Drosophila melanogaster: one gene and its partner. The protein of the gene in region 2 interacts with the protein of the main gene of each other region in a pairwise test. Each region holds a gene or a part of one and is shown on either strand. Other genes may lie near its edges. The genes, in order: cmb and mib2.

The links.
Region 1: the proteins of mib2 (region 2) and cmb interact in a two-hybrid assay, tested with the Drosophila melanogaster proteins (one large-scale study listed by BioGRID).

The regions. Positions count from the first base shown.
Region 1 is NT_037436.4:13,440,219-13,449,235, reverse strand, and holds the start of cmb (combover), read right to left. Parts: upstream 6,643-9,017; 5' UTR 6,518-6,642; coding exon 6,248-6,517; intron 6,118-6,247; exon of another isoform or gene 5,937-6,117; coding exon 5,780-5,936; intron 5,548-5,779; coding exon 5,150-5,547; intron 5,024-5,149; coding exon 4,931-5,023; intron 4,869-4,930; coding exon 3,338-4,868; intron 3,228-3,337; coding exon of another isoform or gene 3,225-3,227; coding exon 2,956-3,224; intron 2,895-2,955; coding exon 2,353-2,894; coding exon of another isoform or gene 2,349-2,352; exon of another isoform or gene 2,275-2,348; intron 1,963-2,274; coding exon 852-1,962; intron 794-851; coding exon 191-793; 3' UTR 1-190. Other genes in the region: CG14109 (uncharacterized protein), read right to left, coding at 6,932-7,609, 7,957-8,010; CG10140 (uncharacterized protein), read left to right, coding at 8,801-8,810, 8,865-9,017.
Region 2 is NT_033779.5:19,032,640-19,041,687, reverse strand, and holds mib2 (mind bomb 2), read right to left. Parts: upstream 7,232-9,048; 5' UTR 6,688-7,231; intron 6,189-6,687; exon of another isoform or gene 5,991-6,188; intron 5,928-5,990; 5' UTR 5,890-5,927; coding exon 5,823-5,889; intron 3,885-5,822; coding exon 3,717-3,884; intron 3,604-3,716; coding exon 2,934-3,603; intron 2,873-2,933; coding exon 2,710-2,872; intron 2,648-2,709; coding exon 566-2,647; 3' UTR 147-565; downstream 1-146. Other genes in the region: CG31800 (uncharacterized protein), read left to right, coding at 7,232-7,268, 7,326-7,483, 7,538-7,699, 7,758-7,949; hook, read left to right, coding at 8,308-8,424, 8,480-9,048.

The DNA of each region.
Region 1 (9,017 bases), on a different chromosome or scaffold from region 2:
ATATATATTATTGTTACATAATTTAGTGTTAAATAAAAAACTGATACCCAAAATGAGTTGCGAACTACGACTAAGGACACGACCATAAAAGATTTATCTTTTCCGAAATTCGTAAATGAAATATGAAATATCCGTACAGATGATGACTTCTTAAATAAGGAATGTTTGCTTTGTTGGGTTATTCTCTAGTCTATTCGAGACTGACGTCCTGTTTTTCTGCGCCGGAAGGCTCCGCTGCAGCCTGTCCATCTGCCTCCTCGTCGGGATTTTCGTTGTTCTCGCACTCCAGTTCGCCATTTCCCGCGGAGGAGACGTTCTTTTGGTCCGCCTCGGCCAAGTCTGCATCGTTATTCGAGTCCTGCGACTGGGATTGGGACTGTTTGCGCACACGCTGGTTCTTCAGCTTGGCCGGACTGGCTCCAGAAGGTGTCACCTTCGACTTGGTCTTGCAGCTATCCTGCGGCTGTTCCACCACAAACAGCTGCTCCAAATAAGAACGGTACCAAAGCAGGAACTCGTCCCGCTGTCGTGGTATGTCCATCTTCTTGATCTTGGCATATATGCGTTTGGGCGAAATTAGTGGCGAGCTGGCGGTCGAATTCTGGGCAGCAGTGGCCGTCAGCTTTGATACCTCTGCCAGTAGGGAGTCATTGATGACGGTGTTGTTGTGCGTCTGATTGCGAATGCGTTTGATAATGTACTCGATTAGTTCGTGATCCGGTGCCAGTTCTATGCTGGTCCCTGGTCCTGATCCCGAGCCAGAGGCTTGTTCTAGTTTTCCCTCGAGGATTTGCTGGTAAGGAAGACGCAATTATGAGTTAATCGATCCAGTTTACGAAAGCCTTTCTTACCTCTTCGTTCTCGGTCCTAAGAGAAGAGATAACAGCAGAAGCACTGTCCTCCATTTCATCCAGGTGCTGCCCGTTCTGTGGATTGGACAAACTTAGCTGCTTCACTGGCGTTCCTTTTTCGTCCTCGGGCCGATCGTTGTCTAGCTGCAGACGCATTACCTCTAGCGGGGTTTCACTGCGACTCTCGGTGGCCTCGGCGTCGCCAGTAGGTTCGTTCTCCTCCTGGTTAAGAGCCTTTCGCAAGCCGTGTGGTTCATGTGAGTGCTGCAGCTGCTGATTTTGTTGCTGTTGTTGTTGCTGCTGCTGCTGCTGCTGCTCGAAGAGTGTCTCCAGCCGGCGGTAGACATCCTCCTTGATTGATTCATAAAACTTTGTGGTGAACTTGTCGTTCTTCAGAGCGTTAACCAGCAGATTTCGATTCAGTTCCTCGGAGGCCGTTTCCTCGGTTTGCTCCATGGCATTTGATTCGTCCGCGGGCGATGCTTCTTGTCCGAGCGTAGGAGTAGTGTCCACTGGAGTAATCTGGGGTAGCTCGATGTAGTCCATGTAGTGAGCTGGAAGTTCGAAGTCGAAACGAAGATGTCGCTGCTGCAGAGGAGTAAGCGACACAGTCGAAGTGGTGGGCTTTGCTGGTACCTTGTTCCGCTGATACAGCGGACTGTTGCCATAGTTTACGTTCATGTTGAGATTGGAGGAGCTAGCCTGCTCGGACTCATCATCCCGCAGCGTGGAAAGCTGAGGACGGCGACGATTGCGACGTCGACCCGAGCCGAATATGACGTTATCATGGTTCTCCTCCACCTCGTCCACATCCTCATCGTCGTGGTCGCGAATGTGGCCTGCATCATCGCGCCAGTCCCTTTTTCTGCCCGAACTGCCGCTGTTGTTGAGATTATTGCTGCCATTGGAGCTGCTGCCATGCAAAGCGGTTAGTGGCGCCTCGAAAAAGTGACGACGCTGCTGCTGGTGGGTCAAACCACCACGCGTAGTAGGCGGAAGCAACTGGGGCGGCTGAAAGTAGCTGGGACGTGCCCGTTGTCGCCGATACTGCTGGAGGTCCACGTTCAGCTCCTCGTTGCTTTTATTTGATAAGAGATTTTGGCGCGAATGGCTGGAAGAGCGTACAGATATTAATGGGTTAATGCAAGCGGGTAGCAAAGAATCATGCAGTTGATAAACTAGCTAAATCTAGTGAGCGTTACTAAGTTAAGTTTTTCTATTCCATATATCCTTTTTAAATTGAATACACATCTTTTATAAATTAGCTTTGTTTACTGCCGAATAGGCACTTGCAAAACTTGGTCAGTACTTGGAGTTAGTCTTGGTTAGTCACTTTCAACTCTGTTAATGGGACACTTATCTGCAACGCGTGGTCGCACTTACCGGTGCACAGAATTGAAAATTAACTCTTCACAATAGTTTTATTTAATTTTTATTGCTTTTGACCCTTTTCCATCAAACAACCATTAATAAATCCAACACCAAAGTTATAAAGCATTACCTGCGGAAGTTGTCCCAGTAGTTGTTGGCTCTGTTTCCGGGTGGTACTTGATTGTTCAATGTAATACCGCCACCAGGTGCTCCTCCACCAGCTGCTCCCTCGGGCAGCGAGTGCAGATTGTTGGCATGCTGGTTCTGGGTTCGCAGATTCGAGTTGTTCTGATGTATCGTGTTGTTATGGTGGTTCATGAAGATGGGACCTGGACTTGAGCGGTAAGTAGGCGGCGACAGGGGTGTCTCGTTGTTGAAGTGCGTCGGCGGTGGCGGGGGAGCAGCATTGTTAAGGAACGGCTGCGCCTGATGCTGCTGCTGTTGATGATGATGCGATTCTGCCCCGCTACGATGACAGCTGCGCTGATAGTTACTAAAGGCGCTCTGGTGGGCACCAAAGTTAAATAGCTGCTCAGATTGAGCTCGACTGCTGCCCAGGCACAGATTGTTGGGCATCTGACCCATTCCAGGGCCCACCGGAGGCGGTACTGATTCCGAGCGCAAGCCGAAGCTGTGATCCTGGCATGCTACAACATTAAATCGATCCTGGAGCTGTGAAAAAACACTTGAATTAGTCTTTGATTAGGCTCTCTAATCTCATGGATTGTCTTACCGCATGTAGCTGGTGGTTGAGGTTGTCGATTTCGCGCTGTTGATGCCACAGTGCCTGGTTGCACTGGCACACAGAGTTGATAAGCATTTGCTGCGTCTGCATGAACTGCTGCAGCAGAACTGCGTCGGTAGAGGCATTCGATCCGGATCCATTTGAGGAGCCCCCTTGTTGGGCGGCTGGCAGCTTTTTAAACTCTGTGCCGGCACTGGAGCTCGGCTGACCGTAGACGGGCTGCTGTCCATGCCACGAACTTCCAGAGTTGTGTGATGCTGCTAGCGGATGCATAAAAATAAGCGTAAAACGAGGAAACTAATACATGAATTCAAGTTGGTAAAGTAAAGTTGGTAAATTTCCGCCTTTGTTGGTGGAATTAAAAACGTACCCCACATTCCAGGCACTGGTTGCATGGGGGGCGGCATGTACTGCGATCTATTGCTGCTGGATGGTATGCTGTCATTACCCAGGGATAGCGTATCAAGTGTCACATTCAGGTCATCTTCGTTTAGCGTCGACGGAGGAGCAGGCGGCGGTGGTGGTGGTGCCTGCTGTGGGGGAACGTTAGGTTGCTGACCTCGTCGTTGCTCCACCACTGTGTTGGCGGATGGAGCCCTCTTTAGGGTCGCTGAGGAAGCGGTACGTACGTTGGCGAAGTACTTATCGCTGTCAGTGTCGTCGTTTGCCTCGTCATCCGCCTCCGATGTGGTGTTGTTACTGGCTACGTAACGCTGCTCCAGTTCCCGCTGCTTCTGCTCGTATTCCGTTCGCAGGCGCTCGCACTGCGAGCGCAGTTCATCGCGCAGTTGTTCCTTGGTGGGCGTAGCCTGAAGAGAATTATCCACTTCGGATGGATCCTCTTCCTCGGTCATCCGCTGTCTCATGGGGGTGGGTGTTGGGGTAAGACTGCTTCTTTTAAGTGCATCATCGCCCATTTGAACAGCGGCGGCCGCCTGTTGTTTGCGTCGCTCAATCTCTGCCTTCAGGGCTAGGATACGGTCACGCTCCTTTTGCAAGCTTGCTGCTTCCGCTCTCAGTTCGCTCGTAACATCGTTCAGAGCGAATACGCGCTGGGCAATCTCGGCCGGCAATTCGCGCTCCACGCTAGTTCTTTCCTCACTACGCCGCTCTAAGGTGGAGCCCATGCTGGGAGTACTTTCTTCAATCTGGCTAACAGTGTACAGCATTCCCTTTAGTCTCGCCATCTGAGCCTTGAGTGCTTCTATATCTGCCGTCTTCTGGTTGATCATTGCCTGTGCGTGAAGTGCCCGTTGAGCAGCGTTGGCCGCCTCCTGGCGTATGATGGGTACGTTTCTCTGATACTCCACAGGAACAACACGCTCCTTGGGAGCCGCTGGGGCAGCCTCCTCTGGCTTGGGAGGAGGCGTGGGAGTCTCCTCTTTCTCTTTGATGACTCTAGCAGTCTCCCTGGCCGCACGGTTGATGCTGTTTAGTTCGTCCACCAGATTGCGCATATCCTCACGTTGGGTGCGCAGTGATTCCAGTTTCTCCTGCAGGGCTTCCTGCTCGGCCAGGATCTCGGGCCCATCATCGCCAAGCACCGTGCTCAGTTCGTTCTGGTTGTGTATAAAGGCGGTGAGATTCTTCATGCGCCCCACCAGCGACGCCATGTCGTCCTGTACCTGCTGCACGGACTCGTATTTGGGGGCCTCTCCCCCATTGACATTGTGGGGTAAGCTATCGGCTTGCTGGCGCAGCCGCTCCATCTCGTTAAGGTGAGTCTTGGCCAAATTTTGGATTTGTAACAGCTTCGCCTGTTCGTCGTGCAGGTGCTGCATGTTCCTATTGGAGGCTTCCAAGCGCTGCTGCAACTCATCGAAGCTGGGCGTGGTATCGGGCGTGGGCGTTTCCAAGACGCTGTGTAGGGACTGAATGGATTGGGCGCGGTTGTCGCTCATCTGAAAGGTACAAATGGTTTGAGTACTAGAAGGCAGACTTTTGGTTTTATTAACCAACTAACCTCGCTTAATGCAACATCCTCCAAGCTGGTCGAATTGACTACGCCTTCACCCTGATCCGAATTTGGGTTGATTTCGTGCACCATGTTGTTCGTCTGGGGCAAGAATTAAAGGATTTAGTTTCATTTATTATTACGATATAAAAAATGTTATTATCAATCTTATAAATGTTATAAATGTACGGCTCACTTGAAGTTCCTGACACAAGCTTTCAAACTCACCTCTACAACTTTCCTACTCGGTTGATATCTGCTATTCAGGTTCTCGTCTAATCCTAGCAGGGCGCGTAACACGTCAACCTGCGAGCGAAAACCTTCGGTTCTGGGAGCAAAATGGTGTACACCAAGAAGTCGGTGAACGAGTTGTTGCAGTCCAGCGGGGGTCAGTGGCGGTGCCTGCTCCTCGTTGCCACTCAAATTGCCGTTTCCGTTGCTGGTAGTTGCGTTCGGTATGACCACACCTACTGTGGCATTCGGAGGCGTCGATTGACGCAAACGCAGCAAAGCCGTCGAAGATGAGGGGGCGCCTGTGCTATTAGCTGACGAGGATGGCTGGTGCTGAACCCTCTGGACAGGACGGACGGGGAATCGATAGCGCTGCTGCTGTTCCTGCAGTTGCTCTGTAATGGAAAATAGCCAAAGATCAGTATGGATGTTTAGGTCCATTGCTAAATACTGCGCTGCGAACTACATCATCTCAGTGGGCGTTTATTTTCGTGCGCATCTTATTTATAGAACATGAACTGGCGCACCGATCTCTGTGTGGGCCAGGCCGATCACTTTGCCAGGTGCGGATATTGGAAATTGCTCAATTAAATGTGTATATTCCTCAACGGTTTCAGGACCCATTACCTGCTGTATCGTAGTTGCCGTGTTCGGCGGCCAACTGACGCAGTGCCTCGCGCTGCTGTTGCTGTTGTGCAGGCGACCTGTGATCCTTGCTAGACAGATGCTGCTCCGCCGGCGATCGATTCTTGGCGTTGGTGATGCGTGCTCGCTGGAGGAGATCCTTTAAGCAACAGTAAATGAAGATTAGCAGGAAAACCAGCACGAGGATTGCGGTAATTTTGCTGATTTTAGGTCTATATATATATATCTATTTCAGATATATATATATATATGTATAAGGGCGCTGCTCTGGCCGATCGAAATTCGTTGTCCGCAGTGGTTGAGTTCGCATTCGCTACTGAGCCAGCGGCTAACGAATTTCCGCAGGTCGCGATGAGTGTAAAGTGTATTTATAAAACCAAGAAGAGAAAGGTCTTGGTGTCTTCTCTTCGAGAAGATTTGCCATGGCAACCAGACGTCCGTCTAACTTACATTCAGAGTTTTCAGCGTCTCCCGCTGCAGCGTCTCTGGCTCGACAAGTTCCATGTCCGGTTCGCCCAGGTGCTCCTGCTGCCGGCGAGAGCGGGCCGACCGGCTGGATGTCACAGATGCACTCGACCCGGACGTGGGTGCTCCGTTTACAGGCGTTTGTTGTTTAGGCACCGCACCGGTTGCCCCGCCCACCGAGTTGTTGTTGCTGCTGCCATTGCTGCGGGCGCTGGCGTTGGCTTGGTCCACAACTACCTTGGGCGGCGGCGCCATTAGAAAATATATATATATATATTTGCGTACAAAAAACGACGCTACAAAATTGAAAAAACTCCTCTTTTTTGTACTCCCACTTTGTTTTTTTGCTTTGCGCACTCTGACAGCTGTTCCCAACCAGGGCTGGAAGCTAGTTAACAAGCCTACCAAGTTATGGTCACACTGGCAGCGGACGTTTTTTGAAATCGAATGTTTTCTAAAATTCAAAAATAAATATTATTTTTAGTTTAAAATAAAATGTATATCTGTAAAAAGTATTTTAAATGCTTTTGGTGTAGATAAACTAACGTTACTTGGTAATTTGATATCTTTTAAGGATAATTATTTATTTGGAGATTACTTTATAATATGTTCCTTGGATAATAAACATTATATGACTAGAGCCATTTTCCCTTTCAAGTTTGGACGTGCCTACTTTCCCTGCTTGCGCTGGATGATGTCCTCCTTGAGCGCACGAATCCGATCCCTCTCCGCCCGGAGTCCCACCGCTTGACCGCGTAGATCACTGGTGAAGTCCGTGAACATGTTAAGCATGGAATTCAGGAGCTCGGCGTTATCGGGAGCACTCGACGAGGTCGATGGATTCTCTTCTTGGGCACTCTCTACGGCCTCGCTGGCCACTCGGACTTCTGACGAGGTGGTCTGCCTGCTGGTCTGAACGGAGGTGGAGCTCTGGACCTGTACCGTTTGCCTGGAGGACATGTGCTCCTCGATCATCTTGGTGGTGTCCACCATGTTCTGCACGCGCTTAAACTGCGCCTTCAGGTTGGCGATCTCGTTTAGCTTCTCCTGCAGATAACTGGCCTGCTCCTCTTTGTCCTCCCCGCCCTCTTCCTCACCAGATGGTGCCTCTTCCCGGTTTGTGAACTCTCCAGAAGCACTGGCGGATGAAGCAACTGTTACTGTCTCCGATGAGGATTCAACGTGGGACTGAACCTCCTCCTCCTCGGTGGACTGCCGCACTTGTCGGCGCTGGGCATTCAGAAGGGTCAGCTCAGCGGCTCGTAAGCGCAGTGTCTCCATCTCCTCAAGCAACTGGCGGTGCTCCTCCTGCATCTCTTGCAGCTGTCTGTTGGAAGCAGCTAGGCGCTTAAAAAATACAAATAATTAGTTTTGAAAGCTTCAATAATGAAAAAATTGGTTTAAAAACATCATAGTTCAAAGACTACATTAGGGCATCAAAAGAAAAATGATTTTGTATATTATTATTAAAAAACTCTATTTTTTAGCTCACTGGTATAGAAAAAGCTTCGTACTTAAATTTCATTTCAACTGAAACATCTAGAGACTGTAGGCTTATTGGTGTGACTCATTCATTTTGTTGTCTAAAAAGAATGTGTCACGGTATTTATTTAACTTTACTGACTGTGTTTTCTTATTGTTTTAAAACACTTAAATACTAAGAGTTTTGCAATTTCCCGAAGACTCCAGCTTACCTCGCTCAAGGCGGCATTGTCCCCATTTTGAGGCCTATTCAGTTCGTTGACCATTTTCTGGGTTCCTGAGGAGAAGAGGGAATACTTGGTGTTATGTATATCGTGCACGTTGATTATTTTCTCAATACAAACAAAGGCCCATCGCAAGGCACTGTCTATAAATAAATGGCTCTTTGTTAAATTATTTTTCAGTTAGAATAGTGTCAGTCATCTTGGCATTTTTGAAGACAAAACTAACAAGTGCACTTATGAAAATGTACACCACAATACACCACATATATTATACTTGAAAATGCTACCTTTTAATCGTATATTCGAATCCTCCGAGCGATGAGCTGTGCGCACAAAGAGATGCCCAAATTTCAACTGAAACGATGTGCCGAAAACGAAAATATTTTGAATCGTTTTCGTGTTCGTGTAGAGTTTTTAGAAACAGCCGACAAGCTTTTCCACATTAATATGAAAGTCTACAAAGGAAACTTTTTTTATGTTTAGAAAAGGAAGGTAACAATTAAATTGAAAACATGCTTAAAACATTTTTTCGTTGTAATTGTAACAGAAGCATTTTCAAAAAAAAATTTAAATTAATTCATAAAAATATAGTTATAAATATAAACCCCTGTGTTAAAGTAAATGTACATCAATTGCATGATGATTTAGGTGAACCTGCTGTGAATATGGTGATCCAAATTTAGACTTCCAAGAGTCATCGCCTTTCCCACCAATTCATTTGCCAGTTGTTTGCAATGTTTACATCGATATAGTGATAAGATAATCTGAGGCTTGAACCTTATAAAGGTACATTTTCACAAGGGAAGAGATTCAGTTGAATAAAAATCTGACAATGAGTGGAGGTGTGCGGTTCAGAAGTTGGAATACAAAACTATTATAATTTTTCTGTTTTGCAGAAGTAATATGGTACTTTATCTGCATATTTTGCGGTGTTTTTGGAGCAAGACCCAAAGACTTGGACGTTTCTGGAACAACAGATAGCACCCTAGAAACGGATTCAACTACTTCCGGTCTGGAATATGGTCTAATTACGGGCAACTTGAGTATCT
Region 2 (9,048 bases):
TTATGCAGCGTACTGAAAGAAAATAACTTGTTCACACTTTGCCGTTACAACATTTCAGTTTTAAAATCTTTCTAAACTTATTATATATTCAATTTTAAACTAAACCTTTTAAATACCAATACAATTAAAAGTCACCCCAGCATATTCAGAAATAAAGTATCTTTATTTTCTGTAGGCTAACCACCGACATCGATTGAAATTCACTCAATTAAATAATTTTATATTTGTATATTTGCATTTAAATGACTATTAAATATTTGTATGCTTTAGTTAGTTTCCTATGTATTTATCGTTACCAGACATGGTTAAACGGGGCTAATAACTAGACACGAGAAGGTGCACATTAATTTGTTGCGTGTTGCGACGATGCCGATGATGAACCGATTAAAAAAGAACTCGTAAATTTCGTTTGTGATCAATAAATAATAATTTCGATTTGCACATGACACGGCAATGTGAGTGTGTGTTTGTTTTGTGTATGTATATATACAAGCCACTTTGGTTGCTGTTTGAATTGCTGCTGATCCTGCCGCCTTTGCTTTTCTTTCGTTTCCGTTACCGCCGTTCAGTACAGGTTGATCTTCTTGAGTATTGTCTTGCGACACATGTGGCATGTGCGGAGCGTTTCGGCACAATGGGAGCACGCGCCGTGCCCGCACAGGAAGGCCACATCCCTTTTTCGCTCCATGCAAATACCGCAGAAGTGCGACTCCTCAAACTCCAGCACTTTGTTCTCCAGATAGCGAAGTAGATCCCCGGACGGTAGGCGAGTGGGGTCACTAGGTGACGACGTGGACGTGGGCAGGGCCACCACTCGGCCGCTGACCGTCAATCGCCGCTCGATCGCCACGGCACAGCGGAGACACTTTTTCATTCGGATGCCGCACTCCTCGCAGGCGATCTGATGCTGACACGGCTCAAAGCGCACCATCGGCAGGATCTCATTGCACACAATGCACTCATGGGGACCGGGGACGATCACCGGACTGGTACTGGGTCCCGCCGCTCCGGCTTCCAACGCGGTACTGCTCGAGCTAGTGGTAACCGGAGGCTTGGGCGCCTTCTTGCGCGGTGCCACCTGTGGAGAGACGTTTTGCGGTGTTGCGTCGGAGTTCAGTTTCTTTACGCCCGGCGAGGCGGAGGGCGTGGATGGAGATGCTCCAACTCCAATGGCTGGGATATCGTTTGGCTTTGGCATTAGTTCAAATGTCTGGCGCTGCGGTGGTGGGGGTGCTGCAACGCTTCCAGGTCCGGCTCCATTGGATTCAGCTCCAGCAGACGCAGAGCTCTCCTCACCGTCGGCTGATCCTGCGGACACTTCCAAAGCTTGAAGATTCCTAGGCAGCGATTCAGCTTCGCCCTGCTGCCCAAAAATCAGTTGCCTGATGTGGCGGTCCGTTATCCACTCAAAAATGCTTGCATTGGCGTTGTTCAGCTCCACTCGGCAGCCGGCCCTCGAAAGATAGATCAATATACTGTACATCAAACGATCCTCAGGACGAATGCTCGAGTGTACTAGACTCAGGTAAAACTTGTGAATCTCAGGAGCCTCCTCTGGCTGAGGCTCCGCGGCCGACTGCAGATTGGACTTCTTAATGACGCACAAGTGCATCGCATTGTCGCCATCCTCATCCTTGGCATTCACGTCGCAGGAGAGGCGAACGAGTCGCTCGATTACCCCGGCATGGCCCTGGGAGACGGCCAGTAGGAACGGCGTCTGTTGGCGATTATTGCGTATATCTAACTCCGCTTGGCCCTCAGTGACCAGCGTTTCCACAACCTGGGCATGACCGTTAAGGGCTGCCAAATGAAGAGCCGCAAAGCCATCGTCTTTGCGCACATTGACCAGCTGGCGGGAGAGCAACAGGATACGGCGAGCAGCTACCACGTTTCCTTTAAGCGCTGCATGGTGTAGCACGTTAAAGCCGCGATTATTCTTAACCGTAAAGTCCAGATTCGGAGCATTACAAAGCAACTCCACAACTTCCGTATTCTCTTTGCCGATTGCGTCGTGAAGCGCCGTATCCCCGTACGAATCCTGAATGTTTACGTTGGCATTGTGCTGCAGCAACTCACGCACACAGTGCGGCGTTTTCTTGTGCGCGCAGATGTGCAGTGCAGAGCAGTGGCTCGAGTTTAGGAAGTTCACCTCAGCACCGTGCTGCAGCAGCACTCTCATGGTGGCCGGCTGATTGCCGAAGGCTGCGTAGTGCAGAGCTGAATCACCTTCCTTGTCGACCGCATTCACGTTGGCACCCTTGGAGATGAGGTAGCTGACAAGATCGACGTAGCCCTGATGAGAGGCCACCTGAATACAAGCCTTGCCGCCACTCATCACATCCACCTGGCTGGGATTCACGTCCAGGTACTGCCGCACGAAATCCAAATGGCCCTGGGCAGCCTCGCGCACCAGCTTGTCGGCAACCGAACTACCGGAGAGGCCAGAGAGCGGTGTCATTACATGGTCAGCGCGTCGGTGGCTTAGGTCCATCATACTGTTAGAGCGCTCAGCTGCTGTTGCCAAAGGAGAACGCTCTAGTTTGACACATTTCGGATTCAGGGTCCACTCGAAGCCGTCGTCCAACTGCTGGATGCGGAGGTCACCGTCCGAGTACACCTTCACTACCTTGCAAATTTTTCCAAGGGCCTGAAAAACATTTTTTTTAAAGAATACTCTCAAAAAAGATTTAACATAATCTGAATACTCACGTGTCGCATGATTTCTATCCATTCGCCGTGACCCTTCTGCAGCTGCTGCACTTTGTTGGCATCGTTGATGATGGTGACCAGGTCACCGACACGAAAAGAGACAACCTTAACGAGTGCGGCGGGATGAAAGGTCCATCGATTGGGACAGTTTTCATACTGAACACTGTTTGGGTTTCGACTGTGTTAGAAATCCAAATAAAATCAACCAAATTATATATTCTCACCGTATATCCCCCTTGTCCGTGATGCGGTGTACTGTGCCCAGTTTGGACAAATGCTCGACCATGCGCGGATTCCATCCGCCATGGCCCTGCTGCAATTTCATTAGGGCGTCAACCTCTAGGCAAACCTTGACGCGGTCGCCCACGGAAAAGCTTGGCTTCACCATGGGCGCCACCGGCTGCAACTCCTCTGTCTGACCTAGAACAGGCATGTGGTCCTTATAGTAGTGACCACCGCACGTGGCAGTAATGTACTTGAGGTCAACGTTTCCCTTGTGACCTAGACGGTAGACGTTCGTCGATCCGGTTACCCACGCTACGTTGGCCACGCTGCGACACGATTCGTTGTCCCAGCCTCGGATTTCCATTACCCGACCCGTCCTGCCTTCTCCGCCGTCCTGTTCGTTCCACTCCCAGTCAGGACCGCGCACTACTTTGGAACCCACAAAGATGCCTCGCAGCTGGATGCGCTTGGCACCTTTTCTCATGGGCAATCTCACGCCCAGCGAGTTGGGAGTCGTGTAGCGGATAAACGGGTGCTCAATATCGTGCAGATCCTCTGCGTAGCAATAGGCGCATAGGTGATAGTTGGGACACTGGGCGCACTTGAATACTATGCCAGCGATACCCGCCTTGGAACAGCCATCGCAGACAACATTTGAGTGACGAACTCCTGCGAAAAAAGAATTCGAATATAAGACCTTATAAACAATGAACTATAAATAATTGTAATTTGGAAAATTAAAATTAACTAATTGAATAGATTTCTTAAATATCGTCACTTACCAACTTGAGCATTATCTACAATTATCAAGTCGTACTGGTTTTGGTAGCCCACACGGTAGTTGGTCCGGTGTCCGGAATCCCAGTTGACCACGACAGTGTTTTCTGGCGAATGTGTCGATCCGCAACGTCCGATTTCGCAAACGGTTCCAACGTGACCTTCTCCGTCGTCTGTTGCGTAAGCAATGAAACAAAGTCGAGAGTGACGTGATGTGAGTTGGAGAAGCTATAGAGCTATAGAGCTGCCACAAGGATGCTCCTAGGGCTGCATTGTGTGTACATCGGCATCACCATCCCCACATCCACATCCGGTGGATATCAGACATATGCAGAGCGCACACTTCCCCCTCATAAACAACGCGCCGTGACTATAAATACCCATAATCATTGACTCGGGCTCGGGCTCCAAGCGGATTTTTGTTATGCACTCGGACTCGGGCGTGCAGCTGCTCTATAATTACCCCGTATCACGGGTGTGGATGTGGAATCGTTCTCTAGAGGGTGACATTTGATGTTGGCCTGGGGAGGAATGGGAGCACCGATGGCTGGGCTCCCATCTGAAAATTTGTTTATGTCTATTTTCAACACACCCCAGTCGGAGGAATACCAAGGTCCAAAAATAAACTCTCCACATCGTCCCCAAATATCAGGCCGGCTGGAGCTGTGTAACTGCTCGCGATCCCCACCCGTGTAACTAAAAATAAACACTCAAAAAAAGGTTGGAGACAAAATGGCACGCGCCCTAGCGCCTGACATGTGCATATGCATTCGCTGCACAGGCTGGAATAGGGCGACTTGGGGAGGGGGGAACACATACCATGACCTAATCCTAAACGTGTGCAGCTGCTTTAATAGGATCCTTCAATAGGCTTAAACATTACTGCGTTTATTATCAAATTAGGCTTTGGTGATTGGTTTAACTTCCACAAAATGATTCAAATTGTTTTTGAAGTGTATCTGAAGAAATGTTCTCTCTTGGTAATATTCATTTGCAACTATCAAAATGTAATTGAAAATTATAGTGTTCTACATTCCTTTCATTTTTGAGGTTTTGAGTTCTAATCTCTTTTCATGGCACATATAATACAGTCGGTTTATCAAGCTTTCGAAACGATATAAGCCTCATCATCTAATTGTTTGTAATACGTTACGAATTTGTTCCAGCGAAAGACAATTAATTCAATTAAAAACTACGCAATATTATTGTTTGGCGGGCAGCTGCCTACGGACGTATGTATGTGCATATGTATTTACCTGCCACGTAGGGTGGCGTACTATATATGTACGTACCATCGAGAGCCACACATCCCCGCCATATATATGTACATATGTATGTATATGAACCATAAAACGAAGCGACGAAAGCAGAAGCAATTGGTAAGCGCAAGAATTTCACTGCTGCCGCAGTGAGTGTTGCTAAAAATAGCGGGCGCGTCCTCTTTACATTCAACAACGCCCCGAGCAGCAGCAGCGGACACGGACGTACACCTCTCCGTCCCATCCCGTCCCATTGCCCCACACCCCTCCGCACTCGCACACTCTCAACGGACCCTCTACGGGTGCCAATGCCAAGTGAGTTGCGTTTGGCGTATACAGTAAGTATTGGCCACGAAGTGATTCCCTTTATGCCATATATTCATTATTTATCATGTCTTTTCTACATACATATTATAACAAAAATTAAAGTATCAGTAGATTAAATTTGATCAAATATTGATCGATCGTAAGAGGTATAAAAATGTTTATTTAAGATATTGCTTATTATTATTACGCTATCAAATCCAAAATATGCGGATAAAATCAGCTTAATAAATTATAAACATGATTTTTTTTAAGGACAGATATTGGAGTTTAAACAGAAGTAATAATCCCATTGTAAAGCCCTTTTAATCGGAGAACGTATGACTAAGTATGGGTTTTACCGAAATTGAATGCCTAAGTTGGCGACATCCCCACCGCCTAATCTCTACCGTACGCAAATTTCGATCTGAACTATATAACAAAAACACCCGTATCTATAAACAGAGAGCGGATGGCAAGTTAATTCGCCTCTTTGGAGGTGGGTGAAAGTAAACAAGCTGGCCCGTGGCTGCCTGAATGCGTTCTTACCTTGATTCGACCAGATCCAGTTGGGTCCGCGCACCACTCGAATGCCGGGCGGAATGGAGGCTCGCATGGCGTTTGGTTGGCTCAATTTGTGTAATCCGATTCAGCCTGCAAGGAGGATAGCATAAATGTGACATTTGACAATACTCGGGGCACGGCGTTTGATGGGACCTGGCTGATAATTGGGTCAACTAAATGGCGGCCCCGTCAGCGCATGACTCAAAAGGAGAGGAGCATATCGGGGTCATCTCAGAAGTCTTTGTAGGCTCAAGCATGGAAGGGTCTCTATGAGCATGTTTTAAAACATTGCAGTGGCTTAATTCTAAGCAAGAAATTGTACTCTTCACAAAATACTTAAGCAGAATTAAAATTTTCTAGAGATTTCTGTATTAAAACTCTTGAGATTTCTTTGTTAACCCTTCGCATCATTTATGGGGTGTCGGGGGAGGAAATGCCATTCAAATGCCAGATATGTTTCCCGATCGCCAGCGCTTCGGTTTCTGGCAGTCCGAGGTTTTGTGGTGTGGGTGCAGCCCAGAAGCTCGCATGACGCATGCCGATAAGACGGATATATGTATATATGCACCGTCTGAACCTCCGATTTCAATTTCGATACGGATTTCTCATCGTCCCGCTGACAAAAGCCAAGTGCCTGTGACTTCTTGGTCAAGCAGCGAAGTCATTCAAGGAATCGACCCGCATGTGTTGTTTACGAAAGTCCAAGCACACACTCACACTCACGCCCGTTTTGCCATCGCACACATATATATACGTATGTGTATATATTTTACAAATATATACTTATGCAAAATTGAGTATGTGAAAAGCGATTATTGGGGGCTTGGTTTGGATTTTTTTTTGGGCTTACCAATGCAATTTGTGATACTGTCGCTTAGCTCCAGCTGTTCGCAATGAAAAACTTAAAGTTCTCAAGCCTTTAATGGTGCATTTTATACGCGCGTGCGCTTTTTAATGGGCATTTAGTGTTTCCTTTCGCTAAAATGCAGTGACACCGTTGCTCTGGTTGCCAAAAAGGGCATAGTTCACTCGCACGCGATCTAATTTCCGCACTATTTAACACACAGATACCGCACTTATGGTCAATTTCGCCTGGACATTACAATTTTTTAGTTAAATGGCCAAAATTCACTATTTCGCTAGAACTATTAAATAAAACTACAATTTAGTGTGCTTCTTCTTTCTATCTAGAGACGGCCGTGCAATATGACATCTATTCGATAGTGATCGATAACACCTAGGGAAAACGATGACTGGAGGAGATATACCAGCTATAAAGAACACATGTTATTATTTTATTTTTGGCAGTCCATAAATTTACATAGTTGTCAATCGCGGAGTGATTACTTATTTGTATTCATGTTCGGTAGCGTGTGATGAAAAGAGCGGCCGAAATGGACGAATTGACGTATCAGACAGCTGTAAAAAAGGGTACGCTTCTATGATATAACTACTGAGAGGTAAACAAATAAATATTGTATTTTTTAGCCCAACTGGTTGAGAGGAATCCCCAGTTGCAGATAAACCCCATGCGTGTGTCCATGCACCAGGAGGAGGATATCATCGAATTGGCCCAACAAATTCAGAATGCTGATAAACAATTGAAAAACACAACTTGCCAAAAGCTGGGGGTCATAATGGAGCAGGTAAGCTATACTCCTCTTTAACAATTATAATACAAACTAATAAATCTTTCATAGATCAAAATGCTTCAGGCCCAAGCGATGGAGATACTTAAGGAGTCCACTCTCAACCGAGATCTGCACAGTGCGGCCTGCAATTTCACCAAAAAACCCGGACACATCTATCATCTTTATCAAAGGCCATCGGGTCAAAACTATTTCAGCATGCTATCACCGGAAGTACGTTTTGTTTGAAAATAATTCTAAAATCGCATTATTAATGGATGTACACTTTCAGGAATGGAGTCTCTCCGTTGACCAAACATTCAAAGGCAGCTACAGGTTGGAGTACGATTTGAGCTGGACCCCACTGGACAAGATTAAGGAGCAGGATGAGAAGCTAAAGTGGGCGGAGCAGTGCATGCTAAAGGCACTAGATGGTGGGCGTGGTTCGGCCATGGCAATTGACTTTAATATAAGCAATGATTGACAGAATATATTAAAAATTATTTTTATTAACATGAGGTTGTACCCAAACTTCGATGTTACTGATATTAAAATTATAAAAGCTCTAGGGTAAAATGTATTAATTTTAATTTAAATATTAACATTTATATTTTTATAAACATACATATTTAATTCCTGTTTAATTTTGTAAACATGATAAATAATAAATAACGATATTTTCTATCGATAGAGAAAGTGCATCTCAATGGCTTTCGATAGCTGTCGTGCAGTTCGATGTATGTTTTGGTTTTTAGTGCAACAGCTGAGAGCTCTTTTTTTGTGAAATTGTGCATATTTTTAGTTTGTTTTGTTTCGTTTAGCGTTTCGTTCACACCTGCAACATGTCCGCGCCCAAGAACGAGATGTACTATAGCTTGCTGGAGTGGTTCAAGACCCTCAATCTAAATGCCCCGCATGCGGATGCGGAATCCTTAGCTGACGGAGTGGCACTGGCTCAGGTAACTATATATACATATATAGTTCATCAATATTTAATAGCTCCTTTATTCACAGGCTCTTAACCAGTTCGCCCCCGAATCCTTCACCGACGCTTGGCTTTCCAAGATCAAGGCCAGTGCCGTGGGCAGCAACTGGCGATTGCGGATGAGCAATCTTAAAAAGGTGACCCAGTCCGTGTACGACTACTACAGCGACGTACTGAACTACTCGCTGAGTGATTTCTCGAAGCCTGATCTGCAGAGGATCGCTGAGAAGTGCGACTTGGGAGAGCTGGAGCGTCTGCTGCAGTTGGTCCTTGGTTGCGCCGTGAACTGTGCAGAGAAGCAGTCCTACATCACAGAGATCATGTGTCTGGAGGAGGAACTGCAAGCAAACATTATGCGCGCCCTTCAGGAACTTGAGGCCACTAGGCAAGCATCCACGCCGGAGGGCGGTGTAGCCAGTTCCTTGTCCCGTGGCTCTCGCACAGGACTCCTGGACAGCAAGGCAGTTCAGGAGGATCGCGACGCCCTGGCACAAAAATGCTTCGAGACGGAAAAGAAAATGCTCCTTCTCATAGACGAGAAAACGAATCTCCAACAGGAGTTGCATAAGCTGCAGCAAGAGTTTGCCCGCCTAGAGCA